2 linked regions of the Lytechinus pictus genome follow. Each later gene encodes a partner of the first gene's protein in a complex. Links are inferred from orthologs where the notes say so. Each region holds a gene or a part of one and is shown on either strand. Other genes may lie near its edges. The genes, in order: mortality factor 4-like protein 1 and vacuolar protein sorting-associated protein 72 homolog.

Region 1 (12,590 bases):
ATCTTGTGTAAGTTTAAATTGGTACATAAAAATAAAAACAGAATAAAAATAAGAAGAATAATTGGGGACAGAAACTTGAGGGACCTTAACTTACTTTTTATTCCAACCATTGTAGTGGATGAAATATCTGATCATTTTATCCTTGACCTCCGATTTGACGCACTAGGGAAGGAAAGAGACGCAACCAAAATCATTAGGTGAGTAGGATAAAGTAATACTAGTTTTTCAATTGGGTTGACAATGAATTGCAATATCAATATTCAATAACATTGTGTTTTTAAAGATTGACCACTGATTTAACACATTAAATGAAAACTGATGCAATTTTACTGTACATCTCTTTGTACACAGTTGAAAGTATACACTTATCATCAATCACTGAAAAAAGGCAATAATTTGGGAAGCATGGCCCAGCACAGGCCTATAGATACATAATGGATGAATACTGTACTTAAGTTATGTATCCTTTTCCCTTATAAGCTTTATGTGTTTGGTCTTTTTGTTAGCCATGTTGACTTTTGAAACATTGCAGGTTATGGGAACTACAACAAAAATAAGAGGAACAAACAGAGGCGGCAGAACGTCAGACTCATACAATGAAAGTGGAGAGCCACCTATTGTTTGGCAGACAAAGGTGCCCCTCAACTTTCTTTGTCCAAGCCCGATGTTCCACAGCCTCTGGAAACAAAACCAAAAGAATAAAATGTTGCTACTTTACCTTGGCTTCATATAGTAGAGGTCCATGGAAGCAGAGAACTCTTTCACCTGATATAGGGGTACAACAAAGAGAGTTATTTCTTCATCACATAATCCCTCAATGTTATTTCTAAGGCTTCCCAGATATCATGTGATGATTTCTATAACGTGATTCAGCATGAAGTGTTTGTAATGTACAGTCCTTTCCACTTGTATTCATTATTGTCAAAAGATTTTCAACAGTTTTTTCCAACTTTAAATAGACTCCAGTCTTAGCATGGATGGCTGGTAAAAAATGATTTTACTGGTAAATACTGCCACACATTAAAAAAAAGGAAATATCAAATCTAGAGCCGAAGATTTGACTTCTACAGTATAGAAGCTTTTCTGCCATATTTTTAAAAAACTTTCTTTTCACAAAAACAATATTCACCAATGTTTAATATATTTGTCTGATTTTAAATTGCATGTTAAATTTCAACTTTCATCTCAATATTTATTGTAATCTTGAGATGTACTAACAATGTTTCACGGCTGTGCTTGGACATAGCGCACAGCGCATTCAAAAGTCAATGCATATGAGAGCAGCTGAACTGCAACCCAGAACTATTCGCACTCGCACTGCGCTAAAATCCACAGTCAAATCAAGGCAACCCGAATGTATCAGTTGACTTTATTTATGTACAAATTCAATGTGGTCGACTTTTTCTGTTTTTGCGTACTTTTGGCGACCCGGTTTCTTAAATTCGAGATAAGCCTCTGCATGCTTTGGAAATAAGCCATATCAGATTCCACATTTTTTACGGCAAAATTTAGTTTTCTATAAATTCTAACTTGTTAGATTTATGAAGTTAAAATCAGACTTTCCATGACACTGATGAGTATACAAATGGGTGCTCCTGTTTGGTGCATTGGTGATTGAATGTGCATGCTGGCTTGTGATTGACTGTTAAATCTTGGTACACCTGCATGTCGAATTTAGGTTAGACACGCATCACAATAGCACAACTCGTCGTCGTGCACTCCTAGTACCAATGAGGTCAAAACATAAATTTATTTTCCAGCATGACGGAGTATAGCTGGTTAAACTTTGTTTAGACGGGAACGTACAAAAGCTAAGTCAGGCAAGCATAGCGGTCTTGATGACATTTGATAATTTGAATATGACGTATAGGGTAATTTGAATATATGAAAAGATGTAGATTCTTGAGTTGGGCGTAGAGAACGCCAATATTCATTCTAACCTACAGCACCACACTACTGATACTAGCACATCTTTTTTTGAGCTTCCAATAAACCAACATGGAATTCGTCGAAAGTTGCAGAGTTGATCTATGTTAAGACGAGTCAAACTCAGAACAATCTCCTATCTGAACTCGATAATCTGATATCAAGCAGGCTGAACAATTATCAGCAGTCTTTTGGAAAAACACAGAAAATCCTAAACGACGCCCAGGTTGCCAAGATTCGAGAAATGCATTCCGACGACTACAAATTCCAGAGGAGAGGAAACAAAGAACAGCATTAGGTCAACGTAAAGATACACAGGAAGCTTGTAGAAGCCAATCACTATCTCGAGGGAGCTCAGGACAGGCCATCAGCAGTTTTAGACGCCAAGGAAAAGATCGCCGAAGGTATGGAAATCATCGAAAAAAGACAAAACTTATCAAAATGGCCAACAAGTCGCCATTAGGATGGAAGCTTGTTAATGAGTATGAGCAGAACACATTAGCCAATGACTCAGACGATGAAAAGCACAGCCACGTTCAAAGCCAAGGCGAGAGCGGAAAGGAAGGCGAAGAAACCAGAAGGAAGGTTTTATTTTCCTTATGTCGGGAACCAAATCTTCACCATGGAAAAGTCATCCAGGTTTCCAGAGAGAGCAAGATCCCACACCAAGCCACACATCGTCATCCTATACCCCTTTTGGTCGAACAACACCAGAGGACCGGAAGAAGCCCGGCATCTGTTTTTCCTGCAGAAAACCAGGCCATTGGAAGGTGGATTATCCATTAGAGGCAGCCGTTCAGATCAGATAAGTGAATCTAAGTTTTTTCTTGAGTATAGAACAATAGTATCCGATAGTTCCCCCAAAATGGAAAAGTGATATCTGAAATTAAACAAGAACAAAATACAGAATTGATACATTCCGCAAAGGAAAATGAAGTTGAGTGTCAAGATATTGAGTTGGTAGACTCGAGAGAGAAGGAGAATGTTTCTCCTGTTGGAAAATTGAAAGAAAAATGCTAGTGAATTCACAGAATTCGGCGCAAGTAAGGAGATTTTAGACATTATCGAGAACGGTTACAAATTGTATTAACATACATTGCCTGATGATTGAGAGCTCACTAATAACAGATCTGCACATAATCATTCAAATTTCGTAGAGGAAGAAATTGGGAAATTGATAGAGAGAGGTTGCGTTTCAGAAGAGGAATATAAGCCATCAGTTGTTAATCCTTTAACAGTGTCTGAAAACAAGGGAACTTAGACTAGTCTTAGACTGTAGGCATATCAATCCACATTTGTACAAGAACAAATTTAAGTACGAAGATGCCTCGGTTGCTAGTGATGTTATTTGAATGAGGGGATAACATTTTCACATATGATCTTAAATCAGCATACCATCATGTGGAAATTTTGAAAAACATAGGAAATATCTAGGTTTTTGTTTGGAGTTCCATGGTCAGAAGAGATACTTTGTCTTGAATGTACTACCCTTCGGTATATCTACCGCTGGTTAGATCTACATCTTCACAAAGTTAACCAGAGGTCACAAGGAAAGAAGGTCTTGTTCCAAGAAATTGTTACAAGAAATTTTGAAATGACTGAAAAATAGACACAAATTGGGGGGAAAAAAAAGAAAAGGGGTGGGACAACTCGGCTCGCAGTCCGACTTGTCCCGACCCCAATATATCATAACCTTGTTCATTGAGTGGTTGTGATCAATGGAAAATGACAATTTGAAAAAATCAATCATTTGTCCCTAAGAACAAGAGATAATAATAAGCCCAAAATTGCCAACCTTATTTCTCCACATAACCGAGAACAAGGCTATATCATAACCTTGTTCATTGAACGAGTGCCCACGGCCCGGTGGAGCCCCGTGTTAGGTATGGTAGTGTATTCTTTACACCTCTTCACCAGACCTCTGGAACCTCTGGAAATGAAAAATTGTATTCTGTGATAAAAAAAAAGTATTTTCCCCCCAAAAAATGTATCTCACAATAAAATGCGTGGCATGCACGCTCATCGAGGCGCTCAAGCTGCATGCAAGCTTAAATGCACACTGCTCTTGCAGATGAAAAAAACAACATTGAAACACGTGTATATCTCACCCTGGTTTTAACAAAATGATTGAAAAAAAAAAACCAAGTTACCTGAAATTACATTGTGTAAGTTTTATGAAAATCATATTTTTAAAAGAAAAAACGTACTGTCCTGACCAGTCTTATTTTGATTGCAAAAAACATACTAAATACGTACTGGTTGGCAGCTCTGCTACACCTATATTTCAGTGCTTTGAAAATGACAATTAGAGGAAATACATTCAAGAAAAATTCGCACTTGCTAGTTGCTATTCCAATTACGAAAATTATGAATATAAATTTATTTGATATTTACCAACTGTTTCTTTGCATCGCACTTGCTGCATACCCCTCCACGAAAAACAATAATGTTTGTGCGTGACAAATTACATCATGATTCTGAACGCGCGCCGGACGGGTAAAGATATTCTTGATTATAATGATGTAAGAACAAATTTGTGTGATTTTTTCTTCTTATATCATATCATGAGTAAATTCTAAGTTTTTGTTTGCTGTTCTTATATCGATTCTGAGCAGATGTTGGTAATAAATTCGTGTTTGATAACTTACTTTATTTTTTCTTGTTAGATGCATGTTTCATGGAACTTTCCAATATTATGCTCGTTCGTATCGTGACGCTCATCAAGTTCTATCGATGCGCTGCCGATCGTCGACGGCTCTATACTCACAAAGTCACGGTAAACCTCGCGCACGGGTACCTTGAGAACTAGCCATCGACGATCACCCATTTTTTTACACCACACCTCATCATTCGATCGAAGGAGCGGACGAGATTGAAATTCGGCAGATCAGACCCATATTTCCGTTAGAAAATATATCAATTGTTAATGCAAAACTATGTTATTTGATATTTTAAGCATTTTCTGTCATTTTAGAGATAATAAGTTAAAAGTTGGATTTTTTTCGCCTTGTTTTTGCAATCCTGTTCTATGTATTGCTCTGTGAAACTGAATTGCGGAAGTCTTACCGTACGAAATGGTTTTCGAACGCAGTAATATGCGCGTCCGGAATTATAATAGTGTCACTCCTAGTACCAATGAGGTCCAACATTACATGTATGGACCTCATAGGCGACATCAGTAGTATTTTTGGTTAGAAATCTCTGAGAACAGGATATTTAAACATTATATCACAAGTACAAGCTATAATTCCTTTCTCTTATTTAAATTATAATTTTATAGTGTAAATGCATCGTTAGCAACAACAAAAAATGAAAGAAATGAAGGGGAACTTACATTTTCACGGCTTTTTCCTGATTTTCTGGGCAGCTGCTCTTCTCTTCTGACTCGCGATCGAAGCTGATATGAAGATCACGTGATTCGCGTTCTCGTCAGCTGATCGGTTGGTTATTCTTTTCGTCAGACGTTAATAATATATATTTTATAATGCTAGCATTCATCGCTAATTTAGGTGAAAGAGATTGAAGTTAAACAGCGCCAGGTCGGAATCATAATTATTTTGGAAGAGTGTATTTATACACTCGATCTCATACCTGACGTAGACGGCGCTATTCAACAAATGCACAATCTTCAATATAAAAAATAAAACAGAAAGAACGCCTTGAACACAGGCCAAAATGCCTAACGATTTCTCCGCGGCATTAACAACTATCGTAAAGGGCGCTCCATTTATCAATAAAGATGGACGCTAAGCTGTCTATGGCGACAAAATTTGCCGCAAATATTTACGAAGAATTGTGAGAAATGGTCTGAAAATGCAACAAAAGAACCGGTGAGTACCGATTAAACATTATTAAATTTGTAAATAGATTATACATACCTTGTAGATTTAGTTTTTAAGGTGATATTAGTGCTTAGTTCTAAGCTAGGGAGGCCCAAACGCGCGTGAGTGGAGTCCCAGTTTATTAGCACGGGTAAGTATTGGGGTGTCGCCTAGAGTGAATAGTGTCCGGTAATACAATACGTGACTATACTAATTACTATATTACTATAGCGACTACTAGGCCTACGAGAGAATGCACATGTGGGACCGTATTCCAACAAAGCTTGCATTTCACGGATTTCACGTGCGATCTTTCAACAATTCTTGAAATATCGGAGTAAGAAAGAGATTACAAAAGTATTACAAAATACAAATTAACGTATCTCTCCGCATAATACATGCAGGATAAAAATAAAAATGAAATATTCACATAAAACATAGCATTTACCTTCCGAAAACTTTGTCTTGACAGGTGCCATGGTCGGTCTTTGACATCAATTGACCTTTTACCTTGACGCTACGCTGCGCTATTTTTAGCGATAGCTGCCTAGCTGGGCCGCGGGCCGCGAGCGCTAGCTCGCTGCGTGTATGTGCAGGTAATCGTGAAGGAAAACAATTTTTTTGGAGGTGGAGGGGGGGGGGGGGGGGTCCGTTTACAACAAGTAATATATCTCTATGTCATATACTACTTATCAATCATCATGTGGCTCGGTCAAATAATATAATCTCTGATTTCTTATTATGGGACTTCAAAAAAATAGCCTATAATGAATAATAATAATAACAATAATAATATTAATGATGATAACAATAATAATAATAACAATAATACTACTGCTACTACTACTAATAATAATGATAATAATGCTAACAATAATAATAATAATAATAATAATTATAATAGGCCTATATATATTCTTTCCTCCTCTCCCCTCCTCCCCCCCCCCTCTCTCTCTCTCACTAGCTATAGCTACGTACGCGCATACTGTTTTTATCATGACGCAATTTCAAATCTTGATCCTAACTTGACAAAGCCCTATGGGCGAAAATTCGTGAAATTTCTTTCGTTATAACGACTTACGGAGTTTATTTCATCTTGAGTTTATTCTATTGACTGACTCCGAGCAGAACTTAGGGCCCTCTTCTTCTGTCTTGTGGTGTACGTGTTGGCAACCAGTCAAAAAATGACTATTTTTGCCACTGCTTTGATTTGGAGCCTTCTTGAGAGGAAGCTTCTTTCCCCACGGGACCTAGGAAGCGGGGGTGCTGCCCCCATATTTTCCCAGGGGATATGCTGCGTGTATTATTATTCATAGGCAGCACCCCCTGAATTCTGGTATAGGTGTGTCAATTAGATAAATATATGTAAAATTTCGTGTTGAAACTAACCTTTTTATTTTTTTTGCTTGTCAGACTTCTTTGAACCAAAACGACCTTCATTTTGTAACTGACCCCCCCTTTTTGACTTAATTTACTTCAGCACCATTAGTATCCCGCAATTATATTAGTAACCATCTGGAATGAAATTATTGGAAATGGTTTTTGGACTGATTTGAGTAGGTATATGGGTGATGTCAACATTTACCAAAAAAGTTAGGAGGAATACGGGTTGGGGAAAGTCTGTGGGATTTTTCAAGGTCAAAGGTCAATGACCTTTTCAAATATACTGTATAATGGTAGCTCCCAGATAAAATATTACAGGTTGGTGATCATGGTGTCAAAATGCACAGCTAGATTCTTAAAAGAAGATCAAATAAAATCAAATTAAGCACCTAAAATGCTCATTCACCCATGAAATTCAAGGTCAAAGCCTTTCAAAGGTCAATGACCTTTATTATATACATTATACCATACGGTACTCTGAGATGAAAAGGTGCAGGTTGGTGATCTTAATTGGCGTCAAAATGCAGAGGTTCTAACAGGAAGATCAAATAAAATAAAATAGTGTACCTAGAATGCACATTAAACAATAGCATTCAAGGTCAAAGCCTTTCAAAGGTCAATTACCCTTTTTTACATTACGTATCATAGGCTACTGTATAATAGTATCTTTGAGATTGAACGGCACAGCTAGGCCCGGGGGGGGGGCACTCGACCAAAAAAGTGGAAGGGGTGTGCCGCGGGCGAGACAAAAAACGGGGGCCTTGGAGCGGGCTCATTGTAAAAAGGAGGGTCCTCGGAACGAGCTTCGGAACTACAAATGTTTGTGAAAACGGGGGTCCTTGGAACGGGTCGCCTGCGTGCGAGTGCGTATGCATCCCTATGGAACGTACATGGAGCTAATCCGGCGGCACGACGGACAGCGAGCTGCGGCCGCTTTTCACCAAAATTGCGACCGGAACGGCGTAACGGAAAATACGCGAAGCCCTGGAGCGGATTTTTTTCTTCTTTTTTCTCGAGAAGAAGAAAATGCTATGCTCTGGAGCGGCTTTCTTTGTTCTTTTTCTCAATAAGACAAAAATGCTGTGCCTCGGAACGGAAATTTGAGTGTAATGGGGGTCCCCTCCGCGGCACATACCCACTATGCATTATATACTGAGTGCCCCCCCGGGCAGCTAGGTTGGTGATCGTCGTGTCAAAATGCACAGCTTATTACAGGAAGGACAAATAAGATAAAGTTAATCACCTAGAATGCATATTAATCCATAAAGTTCAAGGTCAAAAGGTCAATGACCTTTTTACATAGGATATATATCGTATAATGATATATCTGAGATAAAACACTGCATGTTGGTGATTTTGGTGCCAAAAGCAATTTTGCAAGAATATATAAAAAGGCAAAAAATAATCATAAAGAATAATCATTCACTTCTGATATCCAAAGTCAAAGGTCAAAAGTTAATAAATATCTATATTACATAGCTTATGTAGGTTCGAATCAGTGATAGGTCAATACGCCATCACGTGATCATAGCTGCGAGGATCGCATTTGGTATATTCGAGGTTTTGACGTCACCTCAGTGAATATAACTGCGTTGTATTTTCAATTGCGGCGTTATATTCACTAAGGTGACGTCACTCGCTGCTTACAAGTTGCGTTATCATGTAGTTTATTTGATGTACGCGCTAGTGTTAAAGGGATGGTCCGCGCTGAAAATATTTATATTATTTATTTATAATACATAGAGTAGAATTCACTGAGCAAAATGCCGAAAATTTCATCAAAATCGGATAACAAATAATAAAGTTATTGAAGTTTAAAGTTTAGCAATATTCTGTGAAATCAGTAGTCATGAATATTCATTAGGTGGGATGATGATGTCACATCTCCACTTTCCGCTTTCTTATGTTATTACATAACATCATATTTTTTTCATTATTTCATACTTGTGTGAATAATAATGTCTCCCTTATAATGAAATAAGTTGCAGCAATAAATATCTAATGCACTAAATCATTTGTCAATCCAATTTTTCTAGTTCTTGGAGGAAAAAATTTGAATAAACCTAATTTCATATAATAAAATACAAAAGAACAAGTGGGAATGTGACATCATCAGTCCACCTAATGAATATTCATGACGACTATTTTCACAAAATATTGCTAAACTTTAAAATTCAATAACTTTGTTATTTGTTATCCGATTTTGATGAAATTTTCAGCATTTTGCTCAGTGAATTCTACTCTTTTTATTAAGCTATAAATACTTTCAGCCCGGACCATCCCTTTAATGCGTCGATTGCATGAAGAACGCGCTTGATGTATTTTCCAATTTTTTTCTATTATGACGTAGACGGATCAGAGCTGTAGCAAGAATTTCGGGTTGGGGCCAGATGATGAAGGCAATTAATCTCTGATCCATATAGACTATATAATATGACAGATATTGCCTGGACTATCGTTTTAATAAATAACATTTCAACTCCCCTCCGAAGCTATATTTTTCCCTCGGGAGAATATTTTCCCTCAGCGCTGCGCGCTTCGGGCAAAATATAATCCCTTTGGAAAAATATAACTCCGTCGGGGAGAGGAAATGTTATATTCAAACTCTAGGTAGGCAATATCTGTATAACATATCCATGCATGATTCCCCCAAAAAAGAAATTAATCCATTATATTCACATTTTATTTGTAAAAAATAGAACGAAAGGTGGCTATTTGTAATGAAAACCTGGAAGTTCAATAATTTCACTCTGAAATATAAGGATAAATAATGGCCATGAAAAATATATTTAGGGGTTAGAGGTCAATCAACTATTTCAATAACGTCAGGGTATTATATTTAAGTAAATAGGTCGATAACTTGATTGTGGCATGTACATGTACAGGGGCGGATCCAGCTTCCGCCAATAGGGGGGGGGGCCGAATTTTTTTCACCCATATTTTCCGCGATCGTCCGCTCAAAGTTGATTTTTGTTTGTTTCTCTGAAGGGGTTGTCCCAGTGGCGTAATGAGCAAAAAAAAATTGGGGGGGGGGGGGGGGGGCTCGATACAGCGTATTGCGCAAAATTAATAAGAAGTTGCGAACGAAGCGAGCGAGCAAAAATGTTGACATTTTTATTACAAAAATCAAAGTTTGTGATAGATTTTTACATAACACTTGGAAAATAATAGGCCTATATTTCTTTCTTATCCCTTTCCTTTTCTCTTTTTTGTCTCACCTGCGAAGCAGAGTGAGACTATAGGCGCCGCTTTTCCGACAGCGGCGGCGACGGCGGCGGCGTCAACACCAAATCTCAACCGAATGTTAAGTTTTTGAGATGACAGCATATCTTAGAATGTATATGGACCTAGTTCATGAAACTTGGCCATAAGGTTAATCAAATATTACTGAACATTCTGCCTGAGTTTTGAGTCATATGACAAAGGTCAAAGTTAATTTAGGGTCAATGAACTTAGACCATGTTGGGGGGGAATCAACATCAAAATCTTAACCTAAGGTTAAGTTTTTGAAATAACATCATAACATAACTGTATATGGACCTAGTTCATGAAACTTGGACATAAGGTTAATCAAGTATTGCTAAATATCCTGCCTGAGTTTTGAGTCACATGACCAAGGGCAAAGGTCATTTAGGGTCAATGAACTTTGGCCAAATAGGGGGTATTTATTGAATTACCATCTTAACTTTAAAAGTTTATAGATCTTATTCATGAAACTTGGACATAAAGTATCACTGAACATCCTGTGCAAATTTCAGGTCACATGACCAAGGTCAAAGGTCAATGGACTTTGGCCATGTTGGGGGGGGGGTATTTGTTGAATAACCATCATAACTCTGAAAGTGTATGGATCTAGTTCATAAAACTTGGACATAGGCTAATCAAGTATCATTGAACATCTCATGTGAGTTTCAGGTCACATGACCAAAGTCAAAGGTCGTTTAAGGTAATTGAACTTTGGCCATTTTGGTGGTAATTATTAGATTGCTGTGACAGTCATAACTTTCAAAGTTAATAGATTTAGTTTATAAAATGTGGATATAGGGGTAATCAAGTATCACTGACAAGTCTTAGGTTGCATGATCGGCTCGGTGTAAAAATGGCAGAGGTAAAAATGGCAAAGGAAAAAATGGCAAAGGTAAAAATGGCAAAGGTAAAAATGGCAGAGTTAAAAATGGCAAAGGTAAAAATGGCAAAGGTAAAAATGGCAGAGGTAAAAATGGCAAAGGTAAAAATGGCAAAGGTAAAAATGGCAAAGGTAAAAATGGCAAAGGTAAAAATGGCAAAGGTAAAAATGGCAGAGGTAAACGTGGCAAAGGTAAAAATGGCAGAGGTAATAATGGCAGAGGTAAAAATGGCAGAGGTAATAATGGCAGAGGTAAAAATGGCAGAGGAAAAATGGCAAAGGTAAAAATGGCAGAGATAAAAAGGGCAAAAGGTAAAAATTGCAGAGATAAAAATGGCAAAGGTAAAAGTGGCAGAGGTAACCATGGCAAAGGTAAAAATGGCAGAGGTAAAATGGCAGAGGTAAAAATGGCAGAGGTAAAAATGGCAGAGGTAATAATGGCAGAGGTAAAAATGGCAGAGGTAATAATGGCAGAGGTAAAAATGGCAGAGATAAAATGGCAAAGGTAAAAATTGCAAAGGTAATAATGGCAGAGGTAAAAATGATAGATGTATAAATGGCCAGTCTTAAATCCCCATGCCAAAAAATCCAAAGCCCCTCCTCGTACAGTAGATTAAAAAAGAAAAGTTTTGAGAAGAAAATTAGAATTATAATGTTGGACTAATGGAAAGGGTAAAATTTTTAAATCATACTGTTAATCTTCTGCACCAAATTGATAACACTTGAGTTGGTATTTCTAATTGTTTTCCTGGACTTACATGCATGGCCTTCTCATGTCAAATCGCTCTTCTAATATTCAAATTTGAAGCACTCTTTGGATCCCAAGTATTGTAATTAATTCATTACAGGACAAAGTTTATTGTAAAAATAGCAGAAAATAATTAAAATGATATTGGTAGGGGTTTTAGCGAATCCATCAAAGATTAAAAGAGCTATTATAATTTTACATTTTAACGGTGACGTCATTTGCGAGCAGTTTTTCCCATATATGGTGTATTAACAAATATCAATGAAATGTCATTTCCAAAAAAAAAGAAATGGTTTTTATTGTACCTTAAGTATATTAACATACAAATCATTTTACATCCGCTCCTGAAATATTGTTTTTAGCAATCATGAACCACTGATTAAAAAAATGAAGAGTATACATTTTGGTGCATAAAATACGGGGCAGCTGCTAGTATATGACGTCACAGATCAAAAACTCAAACTTCTAAAAAAATTCTTAATCTTTGATGGGTTTTCCGAAAACCTTCAATATATTTTTTTTCTGCTATTTTTACAGTAAACCATTTGTCATGGTGAATTTCCCCTTCAAAACTGGTCAATAGAAT
Region 2 (12,661 bases), on another chromosome or scaffold:
AATTATATTAAACACCCGACTCATGCCCTAAATGAAATCTTGTAATATAATGGAGATCCTTGAATATATGTCCATCCATGCCATCAAGGCTTTATGCCATGCATGCTATATGCGCAGATTGGGTTGGTATCAGATACCCCATTCCCATCAAGGTCAATGCACTGACTATAATAATTGTTACATTTATAAAGCGCTTATTACACTTTGTTTCTAAGCACTTTACATTGTAAATATCATTACCCCGATCATCGGATCCTATCATGCCCGCACACAATGTATGCACTTTCTCCACTCCTTGGGGAGCATTCCAACAAGAGTTCAAAGACTCAATTGCTAGGCATATGACATAGGTTTTCGCATCCTACCAGATATCCACTTAACACCTGGGTGGAGAGTGGCAAATTGTGGATTGAGGCCTTGCCAAAGGGCGCTAGGCCGCGGTGGGATTCAAACACACGACCCTCTGATTGCAAGGCAAGAGTCAGAACTGCTACACCACGACGCTTCATTTTCAGCTAGCCGAAAATCATTTTGGTCAGCCAAATAGAGTTTCAAGAAGTTACATAAGGCATAGAGGCAACATACATCTACAGCTTAGTAACATAACATCCCAGCTCAAGGATTCATAGATTTGAAAGTTAAAGGACAAGTCCACCCCAACATAAAGTATATTTTAATAAAAAGAGAAAAATCCAACAAGCACAACACTGAAAATTACATCGAAATCGGATGTAAAATAAGAAAGTTATGACATTTTAAAGTTTTGCTTCATTTCACAAAATAGTTATATGCACATCCTGGTAGGTATGCAAATGAGGAGACTGATGACGTCATCCACTCACTATTTCTTTTGTATTTTATTATATAAAATATGGAATATTCTAATTTTCTTCTTATCAAGTGAAACAACATTAATTCCTCCCTGAACATGTGGAATTAGCATTGTTTAACCCTAATTCTCCCGGGGGGGGCCATAATGGCCCCCCCCTCGACAATTTTCGCGATATATCTGCTTCGCGAATTTTTTTTACCTCGCCGCTCACTGACTTTTTACTTTCAAGTCTCGCGCAAATTTTGAGACCAAATTTGTGACGCCCGGGTACGCGGTTACGACATTACGCAACATTATATAAGTGCATGTCAGACCCAAAATTGCTCATAAACGTGATTTCATGTACAAATCCAATGCAAATAGTGTATTTAGCCAAAATTCATAAATGTATCATTATTTCTACTTTTACTGATTAAACTTAATTAATTTTGCCTTGTTTATGATCAGAATTAAGTCTGGAACGATTTCCATAGAAAAAACAATAAAAAACCAAAAGTAAAAAAACAAAGAAATACATAAGAAATTCATAAAACAATAAAATACATAAGAAATTGATTTCCAAACCGAAGTTTTTTTTTATTGCGATTGTTAAGAATGCTACAAAGAATATTTTTACCAAAAATTAGCATTCTAGGAGCTTTATTTAGTGAATTAGAGCAAAAAGTATGATTTATGCATAAATTAGCATAATTAATTCATATAAAATAAAATCTCAATATTTTGGAAAATTTTACCATACAGCCTTGTAGATTACATCACACACTACCAGCGTGCAAATTTTTGTGTCGCTCGCGCGATCGGCGGCCGAGATCTTAAGGGGGGGCCATAATGGCCCCCCCCCCCCGGGAATGACAAGAATCAAAATACCCCGGGAGCTTGAGGGTTAATACTATATGGTTCAATCAAGTTGGTCCTTATTGCCAAATCTGTAAACAATGAAATATTGTATAATTCAAACAATAAAAACAAAAGAAATAGTGACTGAGGGACATCATCGACTGTCTCATTTGCATGTCACTGAGTTGTGCATATCACTGTTTTGTGAAAAATAAGCGAAACTTTAAAATTTCACAACTTTCTTATTTTATGTCCGATTTCGATGAAATTTTTGGTGTTATGCTCGTTTGATTTTTTCTTTTTTTATTCAAATCTACATTTTTCTGGGGTGGACTTGACCTTTAAAACCTTACTGAGGAAGTTCATTCAGCCAGTCCCATCAAGGTTGACAAAACATTTAATCTCAAGCTTTAAGGTTTCAGAGATCTCATTTGGACTAAAGACTTTGTTCTATCCTGAAAATGGCACATACCTGAACTGGAATCTTCCTTGGAGTAATGTTTCTTCTTCTTACTGCTCGGTGTGGTAATTTTCGCTTTCTTTTCCCTTGGGGTGTGACTTGTGGGAGATTTTTTCATGACAGGCTTCTTGGCAGGCTCCTGGAATAGGAAGATATTTATAGTAAAATCAAACTCGAGAAGTTGCAACAAGAAATCATTTAGAGAGGGATTTGCAATAGCAGATTGTACAGTACTTCTGACTACTTCTACTACTGACAATTTCCTAGCATTATTTCAGCAATCTCATACTTTTACATTCTTGGTGAAGTAAATCTGAATTGCAATTTCATTTAATAAAATACAAAAAGAAAAGCAAGTATATGACATCAACTCCCTCTTATTTAAGTGATGACATGCACAGAAGTGTTGTAAAAATACATTAAATAAACTGTACCTTACCTTTGTTATTTTTAAAATCTAATTATCCATACATGTTTACATAGGGGAAATAACATGAGGGACACCGAACGTGTGATTCTTCAGTAGATGATCGCAAGAGCAATTTTGACTATCTATATATACCTTGAAAAAATTATAAGGTAACAGAGTACAATGATTGAAAATAAAAATGAAAAAGTAAGGTTTTACAAAGAAAAGGTGGTGAAACTATAACTTTGACAAGGGATAAGAGAGGGTCTAACCTTGTAGGATTTAGTAATCACTCTTCGTTTTCTCTTTGGTCCATCATCATCACTATCACTGATTGGTTCATCATCCTCTGGGGCATCAATATCACTATCAGATGATGAATCCGCTTCACTCTCCTCACTAGAATATTCCTCATCACCAGATTCCTGGAGTAATCACATATAACAGAATCTATCAACACCAATCGGGTATTATTCAGAAATGGGTCCTCAAGATGGTTTAAAACAGTAGTCTATCTGCATTTGAACTATGGGGAAATTTGCGACTCTAAAGTTTTTGTATAAGTTACTTGAGTTGATAATGATCCTGTTCTGAATCTTTTAATTATAACTTTTTAGGTTTCTAGTGTTGCTGTAGCTTGTTTGTGGTCTATATTATGGTTGTTCCACTTTATATGTTTGTCATTTTGCCTCCGACGAAGATTCTACTAGGATCGAAAACTTAGGCCCCTTTTTGACTTTCTAATTATTATTTTATATAGGAATCAGTTTAACAGAATGAGGTGATTTTCCCCCTTTTAGGTGGAAAAATAAAAGTAATTTTAATTCCAATCCATATGTAGGATTTACATTTCAGCCTGATATCAGCATATATCACTGAACAAATTAATACACAACCTAGATATTATAAAAAAAATGTGTATTTGGTCTACACTCTTTGCAATAGAATGATCTTATTCAATAAATAACTAGTTTTCACATGAACTGGCATATAGGCCTATACATATGTGACTCTGTGTAAGTCAAACTCTTTATGCCACATAAGCAAATAATACAATTTTATCAGTAGTTACTTTAAATTCTTACAACTTTTTGTCTTATGGAGAGCAGACTCATACAAAGTTATTATTTTGCAGACTGATTATGCTTAAAGCATACATTTCCATAGTTACCAGCCTGCAAATGCAAGCTTTAATAGTCTCAAATTAGTCATCTATACTGTTTACTTAAAGTAATCCTCACCTCCTGGAAACCTCCATATGTTGTTTTATAGAATTCATCCTCTTGTTCTTCAGCAAGGAGTCTGTGCATCTTGCTGCCAGCATTGGCACGCTTTTCTCTTGTCTGGACCAGTGACATGATTATAATAGTGTGATTCTCTAATGGACTGTGGTATAAGAAATGAGAAGAAAAAAATAGAAAAGTACCAGTGCTGGTTGAAACTGAAGACCCTTTTTTTTGCTTGTCAATTTTTTTCATGGACGAAATACCCTTAATTGTTAATAGTTAAAAACCTTTTTTTATGCTTGTCAAAATTTTCCTCAGGAAAATGTGCCCCCTTTTGGAAAATCCTGGATCCATCCCTGCTGGTTATCATCTTTGAACCTGTTTTATTTTACAAATTGTTCCAAGAAAATCTGAACTTCTAGACAGTAGACAAGCATTAGACCAAAAGCTTTGGTCTCTGTTATGTTGGTTGTTCCGCTGAACTCCGTTGGCTCCACTCACCGAATACAGAGACAGAAGTTCTAGCTCGATCTGTACAGGGGACTCAATGGCCATTTGTTTATGTATTAAGTTCGGATAAAACAGGGAAGTGAAGTTGCGCGACAGCCGAAGTCACTGTTTTTTCCCCTTTTAAGTTTATTTTTCCCCGTTTCGGTGCATTTCAGGCCAAAACGGAATGATAATCTTTATTTTGGTACAGTTCTTTTTATATATTTTTATGAAATAAAGACAAAAATCGATGAGCCCCGTCAGGGGGATTTTGCATTTTTAACCCCCTAATGGTGGCTGCACGATAGCGAGCCGTCTGTGTACGAGGAGAAATATATAAAAAAAATAAAATGTTTAAAAAAACTCTTCGAAACAGACGGCTGCCAGTTGTCTAGACAAGCATCAACTTTCAAGCAAACGCCATTTTTACACGCACATGTCCCTATAGTTAATTGGGATAAAAACAAATCCCATGGCATTTCAACCTCCATCTGATACAATTATTTTACCTTTGACTTGTCTGCCTTATTCTTTTCTAAAGGCAAGCTAACGTTAGATCTTGTCTTCTTGTCTTTCCGTTAATGCCCACAATCATTATATTGATTATTATGGCATATGAACGTCAAGATTGACTTGATCTAAAGTTAGTTCTTGAAGTTGAAAAGTGCGCAAATTGCAAATTATGCCTGCGCCTGTCACCCTATTCACTTCACTGTATTCATAATCATACCAACAGGCAACACACACACAAGATCGAAAACAGAATTTCACGATAAGGCAACGATTAGAATGTCAATGTAGCTTGGTTCAGTTGCTTTTCTCACTTTCTCAACACCAAAAAATTCATCCAAACTTGAACCGCTGAGGCTCGACAAACAGGCGCGGCGCGGAATGGCCGGACCAGGCTGGGGAGAAACTTCCCGCCGAACCGCGTACGTGGACCGCGGCGGCCTAGCCTACGACCTGCTACGTCCCTAGCCCGGCTGCAACTTTCAAACGTTAGGTGTGCTATAAATTCTATTTCGCACACTCTCTAAGTAATACTTCAGTTTGAATAATTGTAAAAGAATGTCATATGCATTTTGATTCACTAAAAACTTATGAAAATATTACCAGAAGAGTGAAAAAATGAAGAAACTAAACGCCGACTTGTGCAAAGATTTTTTTCCTGCAGGATAATTGCGTCATTGGGTGATTTCAAGTACGGTGTTGAAATCTGGTGTTGGTGTTGTGACAACACCAACACTAGCCACAACACCGTACTTGAAATCAGGATGGTGTTGGGATTGACCTCGGAAAATATGACTTATTTCCGGCAGTTCGTGTTGAATGCTGGTGTTGAATGTCGTCTGCTGAACCCAGCACTGCGGCTGGTGTTGACGATCTACGTGCAATTTCCCCATTCACCAACACCAACCCCCAGGGATTGGGAAAATCATGATTTCAAGTTCGGTGTTGGTGTTGGTGTTGGCAATCTCAAGCTCTTGAACAGGCGGCGAACACGATGAAACATCCCCGTAAAATTAGCTTTTACAGTTTAGCTAAGTACAAATCATTTGAGCTGTATATATTTTGATGAAGAATAATGTTCACTCTTTTGAATTCTTGAATTAATTAAAACATTTGTATTCTGAACGATGAGCATTTAATGCATTTCTCTCAGATTTCATTTTCGTCGTCGAGACTTCTCGCGTGAAGTTGAGATGATTTAGCAGCGCAGCGCAGAGGCGTGACGTCATGTGCTATCGATAACGCAATCGGTATCATTCCTCTGAACCCAGCTCGGTGTTGGAGCTCGGTTCAGCGGCCTTTTTATGCTCTCAACACCAACACCAACACCGAACACCAAACTTGAAATCACCCATTATATACCGATAAGTACCGGTTACCGTATACCGGTATATACGGTACCTTATCCGTATGCGTATCCGTCCCCGGCCCGTACTACGAAAAATAACACTAGTGCATTCATCACGCAAGTGCAAGTTGACTGGGTCCTGGGATTTGTGTTAAATTTTTTCTTCAAACAAACTAATAATCAATAAAGATAAAGAAATGCCATTTTTCAACAAAACCCCACACCTCGGAGCTGCCATATTAGGAGCTACGATGGGCAGTGTCGGGACTGTAATACCATTTATGATGTCTCTTTCGCCCTTCTCAGTCTCAGCATCAAGCGGAAATGGAGCTGGAGAGACCCCCAGAGCTTCGGCTTGCAAGGATGCCTCTATTCCGCTGGTTACACGTGATGATTTGGAGCTTAAGTTTGTGCAGATTTTGTTTAGACATGGTGCTAGAACGCCACTAGGATCTGGATGTATCCCAAAGTCTGAGCAGGTAGGGTGTTTAAATTGGCCATCTCACAGTCACAGCTTCTTACATTTTATTTTCACTCTTCACATTTCAGAATTCAAGTGCAAGTGAAGTGACCAGCCAACAATTTGCACTTGCTCTTGTTGCGGGGGGGGGGGGGGGGGGGGGGGGAGAGGAAGGAAGGGGGAAAAGTAAGAAATAAACACAGAAAAAGAACAATAAAAAAGAAGAAAGATAATAGCAAGAAAAGAAGGAATCAAGAAAGAAAGAATCAAAAGGAAGGAAGGAAAAAAAGAGAGAAAAGACAATTTAAACCAAAGAAAGAAAGAAGTATTATGAAAGGAAGGAAGAAAGAAAAAGAATGGAAGATAGAAAAGATTCTTTAATGGGAAGAGATGAAAGGAGAAAGAAAGGAAAGGACAGAGAAAATGAAATAAATGAAGGCTGAATGAGCTGGGAGTGGGGAAGAAAGGACGATGGAAGAAAGTAGGAAAGAAAGAATGAAAGGAAGATCTATGAAAGAAACTCTCATGTGAAATGATGTGATCATCGTTTATGTTGTTATCAATGTTATGTGATTTCTACAGCCGTCTTAGGTTAATTTGGGAGAGATTCTCCCATGAGTCCAATCCAACTGTATGAGAGGCGATCTGCCACATATGATTTTTCAAAATAGGGATATGAATTATAAGCAAATTTGATAAATCCTACATAGATTGAATCCTGTATAGTGATTGGTTCAAATAGCATCATGTGACCAAATATATTTCAACTATAATGTTTGTGACGTCAGACCTCGATATATTTTTCGCTATACCAATATTCTGACGTCATTATTTCAGAAAACTGGATATTTAGCTAAACTCTCGGGCGCACCGGCCAGCGAGCTCTCTCTCCCGGGCCGGGCAAGTCCCTTGATGCGTTGGCGCAGGCACTAATCTGCGTTTCGCTGAGCGCGGTGGCTCGGAGAAAAGTAGGTAATTCAACGCAAGTAACCAGACTTTGCAAGCTCAGCGCATAGATTTTGGTTATAAATTATTAAAAGTAGGATATAAAACAAAATATATCAGGCATTTCATTTGAAAGCATAGTGGGAATTATTAGTCCTCGGTTGGACTGGCAAAACTAATATATTTCTCTCGGGGTTTCGCCCCTCGGGAAAAATAGTAATTGCCAGACCAACCTCAGATAAATTCCACTATACTTTTTCAAAGCCTGATATATTTGTTAATTGTAGCCTTCTACTGTAGTTTCTTTTTTTTTTCATCCAGACATCCACAGACAAAACAACTTGGGTTCTGACCTTGATAAATCCTTGGTTTGAAAAAAATAATGCCTTGTTTTCAATATTATTTCTTTCTTTGATCAATTTGCAAAGCAAGTCTTTATTACTACTATACTAGTATATATTCCCATATACTGACATCCCTAAAACTATATGTAGCAAAGGTGTTGGTGACTTTGATTACAGTATATCTAGTAGATGCATGATTATAGTGAGCAGAAGTCATCTTTGTTTGTATACCAGCAAAAAAAAATATCAATTAGGTTTATGGTAGATGTGGTTGCTACTTTGATGGATGGGGTCAAACCAATTTATTTTTGTCTCGCCTGCATAGCAGAGCGAGACTATAGGCGCCGCTTTTCCGACGGCGGCGTCAACATCAAATCTTAACCTAAGGTTAAGTTTTTGAAATGACATCATAACTTAGAAAGTATATGGACCTAGTTCATGAAACTTGAACAAAAGGTTAATCAAGTATTACTAAACATCCTGCCTGAGTTTCAGGTCACATGATTAAGGTCAAAGGTCATTTAGGGTCAATGAACTTTGACCATGTTGGGAGAATTATTTTCAAAATCTTAACCGAAGGTTAAGTTTTTGAAATGACATCATAACTTAAAAAGTATATGGACCTAGTTCATGAAACTTGGGCATAAGGTTAATCAAGTGTCAGTGAACATCCTGCTCGAGTTTCAGGTCACGTGACCAAGGTCAAAGGTAATTTAGGGTCAATGAACTTTGGTCAAGTTGGGGGTATTTGTTGAATTACTATCATAACTTTGAAAATTTATGGATCTAGTTCATGCAACTTGGACATTAGGTTAATCAAGTACCACTGAATATCATGTGCGAGTTTCAGGTCACATGACCATGGTCAATGGTCATTTAAGGTCAATGAACTTTGGCCGTGTTGGGGGTATTTGTTAAATTACCATCCTAACTCTGAAAGTTTACGGATCTAGTTCATGCAACTTGGAGATAAGGTTAATCAAGTATTAGTGAACATCCTGTCTGAGTTTCAGGTCACATGACCAATGTCAAAGGTCATTTAGGGTCAATGAACTTTGGCCAAGTTGGGGGTATTTGTTGAATTACCATCATAACTTTGAAAATTTATGGATCTAGTTCATGCAACTTGGACATTAGGTTAATCAAGTACCACTGAATATCCTGTGCGAGTTTCAGGTCACATGACCAAGGTCAATGGTCATTTAAGGTCAATGAACTTTGGCCGTGTTGGGGGTATTTGTTAAATTACCATCCTAACTCTGAAAGTTTACGGATCTAGTTCATAAAACTTGGACATAAGAGTAATCAAGTATCACTGAACATCCTGTACGAGTTTCAGGTCACATGACCATGGTCAAAGGTCAATGAACTTTGGCCGTGTTGGGGGTATTTGTTGAATTACCATCCTAACTCTGAAAGCTTATGGATCTAGTTCATAAAACTTGGAATATAAGAGTAATCAAGTATCACTGAACATCCCCTGTGAGTTTCAGGTCACAAAACCAAGGTCAGTTAAGGTCAATTGGGGTAATTGTTGAATTGCCATCATAACTTTGAAAGTTTATAGATAGAGTGAATGAAATGTGGACATGGGTGTAGTTGACAAGTCTTAAGTCACCGTTCAAATGTCATTTATGGTCAATGAACGGTATTATGTCATTATATGAATGATGTTTTTGTGAATGATTATTTTATAGTAGTTTTCAAAGTTAGCACTGCTGCTAAAATCGCGTAATGCAGGCGAGACTGCCAGAGGCGTTCCACTTGTTTTATTATAATTGTATTATAATATAGTTCATCAGAAATCATATTCCTTTCTTGTCTTATATATCTAGGCCAGTCATAGTGCTGTCATCACTAAGTAAACTCATCACTATCACTTTGCTCATCATCATACTCACCATCAAGATATATATAGTGTTTTTTTATCATAAATGAGATTGCACAGTGAACACACTTAAAGGTGATTTTGTTATGCCTTTTCTAATTTAATTTGATTTGAAATACAATATCTCTGATGAACAGAGAAGTAATGTTATGAATTCTTAAATGCAAAATAAAATGCAACAACAAGAGAGCAGCACTATTTACAAGTAGGCTTGCATAAAGGATGTTGAAAGAAAACAAATGCTACATTGGACTACTTAAATCATTGATCAGACACCTGACAATCACTGTATTGAGCTTACAGTATGTGTACAAAAATTAATCTGTTCACTGGTCAACAGTGTACTTGTTATATTTCAAGAGGTTCGTGAACTAAAATCATTTTTTTTAACCTTCGCAGATTGATTTGGAAATAGTGGAAAATGAAGTGAATTACGCTGTGTCATTTCAAATGAACTTGAAGAATGCAAGATTATTAATCAAACATTTCTTTTTTTGTCACTATTACAGAGCGTTTGGGATAAAGATACTTTATTCCAAGGAGAAGCTGATCTATGCATTGATTACAAAGTTAGGGCTTTAGATGGAAGACCACAGCCTGAATGGAAAATTGAGCAGTACTACAGAAAGGCTCCACTAAAGGTATGTTTGTTACAAGTATATTCACATGTTTGGATGAATTTCATAAATCATGTGGTAACAAAATTTCAAGTTTCAAATAACATACAAATGCAATACAGGCTTCCTGTGCTTTATTCAAGCCAGTCACCAGTGTGCAGGAGATGCAATCTTTTGCACATACATGTAGGCAGACCAATAGAATAAATAAATTTAAATCAAAGTGTCACAGTTAACCAGCTTCATTAGAACAAAATTTAATAAGAATTTCATGATATTGGATTTCAATCAACCAGGTTGGACTCTAAAAATGAGATTACTGTGCAGGATTTTTTTTTTTTTTGGGGGGGGGGGCTTAAATACAATTGTTTAATTCTGTGTACATGTACATATGTGCAACCATATTTTTTAATGTACTTTTATAGCACTACAGGCAAATAGATTCAAGCATGCAGAAATGATCCCACTGTGTAATCTTATTTCCATAGCGCTGGTTGGTTGATTACAGATTTGAAATCAGTATATGAAAGTTTTAATGTAGATAGGAAAATTCAGTTCCAGCAAACCAGAACTATTCATAGTATTTTTATTAAAATTCTTGTTGATTTTTGAAATTTTGAATTTCTTTATATTAAACTGGAAACAGCATTTCATAGATTTGTGTTTTGTCATTTTTTTATTTGCCAACTGTTATGCATTTGCCAAATGATATGTTTAGATTACAGTGTTACATTATTTTTCAAACAATATTGATGATAGGACAAACTGCACTGCATTTCACTGAAACCAGCAAACAAACAAGTTTACATGTAAACATATTTTCCTTGTGTCTGTAATACTCAGGGTGGATCTTTTAAAGGTCAACTTACAGCCAAAGGTATGAAACAAGCCAATGATCTTGGAAAGGAATTGAGAAGACATTACATGGAGAAACTTGGATTCCTACCCAAGGAATTCAATCCACAACTGGTATAGTAAGTGTTTAGTAGAACCAAAGTTTCATGATGGTCAAATATAATAATGAAGTGCCTGTTTATCAAGTATAGATTGTAGTAACCCAGGGGGTGCATTGTGGTTCGCCTCAACCTTTTGCAAGATAAAACTGTAACATGAAAAGCTTGCACTGAAATGTGTCATTACTTTTTTTTATTTTAAGTCTTATGCAACATATGGAACTGATTTCTGATGCCTGTGTTCGAAGTTTCAATGTCAAACAACATTTTGTAAGTTAATGTCAGACTCTGAAACGCAGCAAGCATGATTTCACATAACTATCTAATGCAAATTCTGTTTCTAGCCAAAATTCTAAAATCGATCATTAGGCCTATATTTACTTAAATTACTGATTGAAATCAATTAATTTCATGTTGTCTATAATCAGAATAGTATATCGAACAATTTCCATGGAAGAAACAGATAAGAACAAAGAGTTAAAAATGAAATAAAATAAATACAAAATATCAAATAAAACCAATGAAATACACAAAATTTAAACACACTTTATGAGAATTGCCCAATTAGTCTCTAAACAAAAATTAGCAGTTCAGTTGTATCAATCATTGATTGACAGCCAAATTTGACTTTCATGCTGCATGAATAGTGAAATTTAGCTATGCAACCCCATAGATTACATAATTTTCTACCATCCAATTTATTATCATGAGCAGCCGAGATCTTAGGGAAGTCCTAGAATACAGACGTAATGGTTATCAAGTATGGCCAATCGCACAACTAGAATGACCGGTTATTAGTTCAAGGTCAGAGGTCATTCAGTTCATTGCACTATGATGAATATTCATATTAAAAAATGATTATATTTTAAATATTTTTTATCATATTTAAAGAAACTTGTATGAACTAAATAGCATAAATTTAAGTTCAAAGGTCATCTGAGGTAAATAACTCAGTAAGTTATTATTATATTTTTCACAAAATTAGGACAATAATATACCTTTTCTTGTTTTTATTTCTTTTCCATGTGTGGTGAGGAGAATCGTATCATTTACATTGTTTTAACTTTGGTTTAAAATTCTCTTATTTTGACTACAGTACCAGATCTACCAATATTAATAGAACATTGCAGTCACTTGGATGTTTGCTTGGTGGTTTATACGGTGATACTATTTCAGCCAAAGAGTGTAAGATTTATCATTAATTCATGAAAATTTTTCATTAATTCATGAAATGCTTGTTTATTATATTAGGATGATATTAGACATTGAAAGATAATTTGATTTAATCTTTGCAAACACTAAAGTTACAGATAATTCTGTCTTTTGCATCCCTCTCATTTCAT

Evidence for each region.
Region 2: mortality factor 4-like protein 1 (region 1) and vacuolar protein sorting-associated protein 72 homolog share a complex: the UniProt entries of both Drosophila melanogaster proteins name them as parts of the tip60 chromatin-remodeling complex. The link is inferred for Lytechinus pictus from reciprocal best matches to the Drosophila melanogaster genes MRG15 and YL-1.

The regions. Positions count from the first base shown.
Region 1 is NC_087249.1:20,516,044-20,528,633, reverse strand, and holds the start of mortality factor 4-like protein 1, read right to left. Parts: upstream 6,287-12,590; 5' UTR 6,227-6,286; coding exon 6,196-6,226; intron 766-6,195; coding exon 719-765; intron 163-718; coding exon 95-162; intron 1-94. UniProt on the Drosophila melanogaster protein: Part of the Tip60 chromatin-remodeling complex which is involved in DNA repair. Upon induction of DNA double-strand breaks, this complex acetylates phosphorylated H2AV in nucleosomes and exchanges it with unmodified H2AV.
Region 2 is NC_087247.1:35,239,539-35,252,199, reverse strand, and holds the start of vacuolar protein sorting-associated protein 72 homolog, read right to left. Parts: upstream 5,183-12,661; 5' UTR 5,101-5,182; coding exon 5,078-5,100; intron 3,925-5,077; coding exon 3,780-3,924; intron 2,964-3,779; coding exon 2,811-2,963; intron 2,269-2,810; coding exon 2,142-2,268; intron 1-2,141. Other genes in the region: lysophosphatidic acid phosphatase type 6-like, read left to right, coding at 6,309-6,590, 10,258-10,389, 11,209-11,339, 12,415-12,503. UniProt on the Drosophila melanogaster protein: Part of the Tip60 chromatin-remodeling complex which is involved in DNA repair. Upon induction of DNA double-strand breaks, this complex acetylates phosphorylated H2AV in nucleosomes and exchanges it with unmodified H2AV.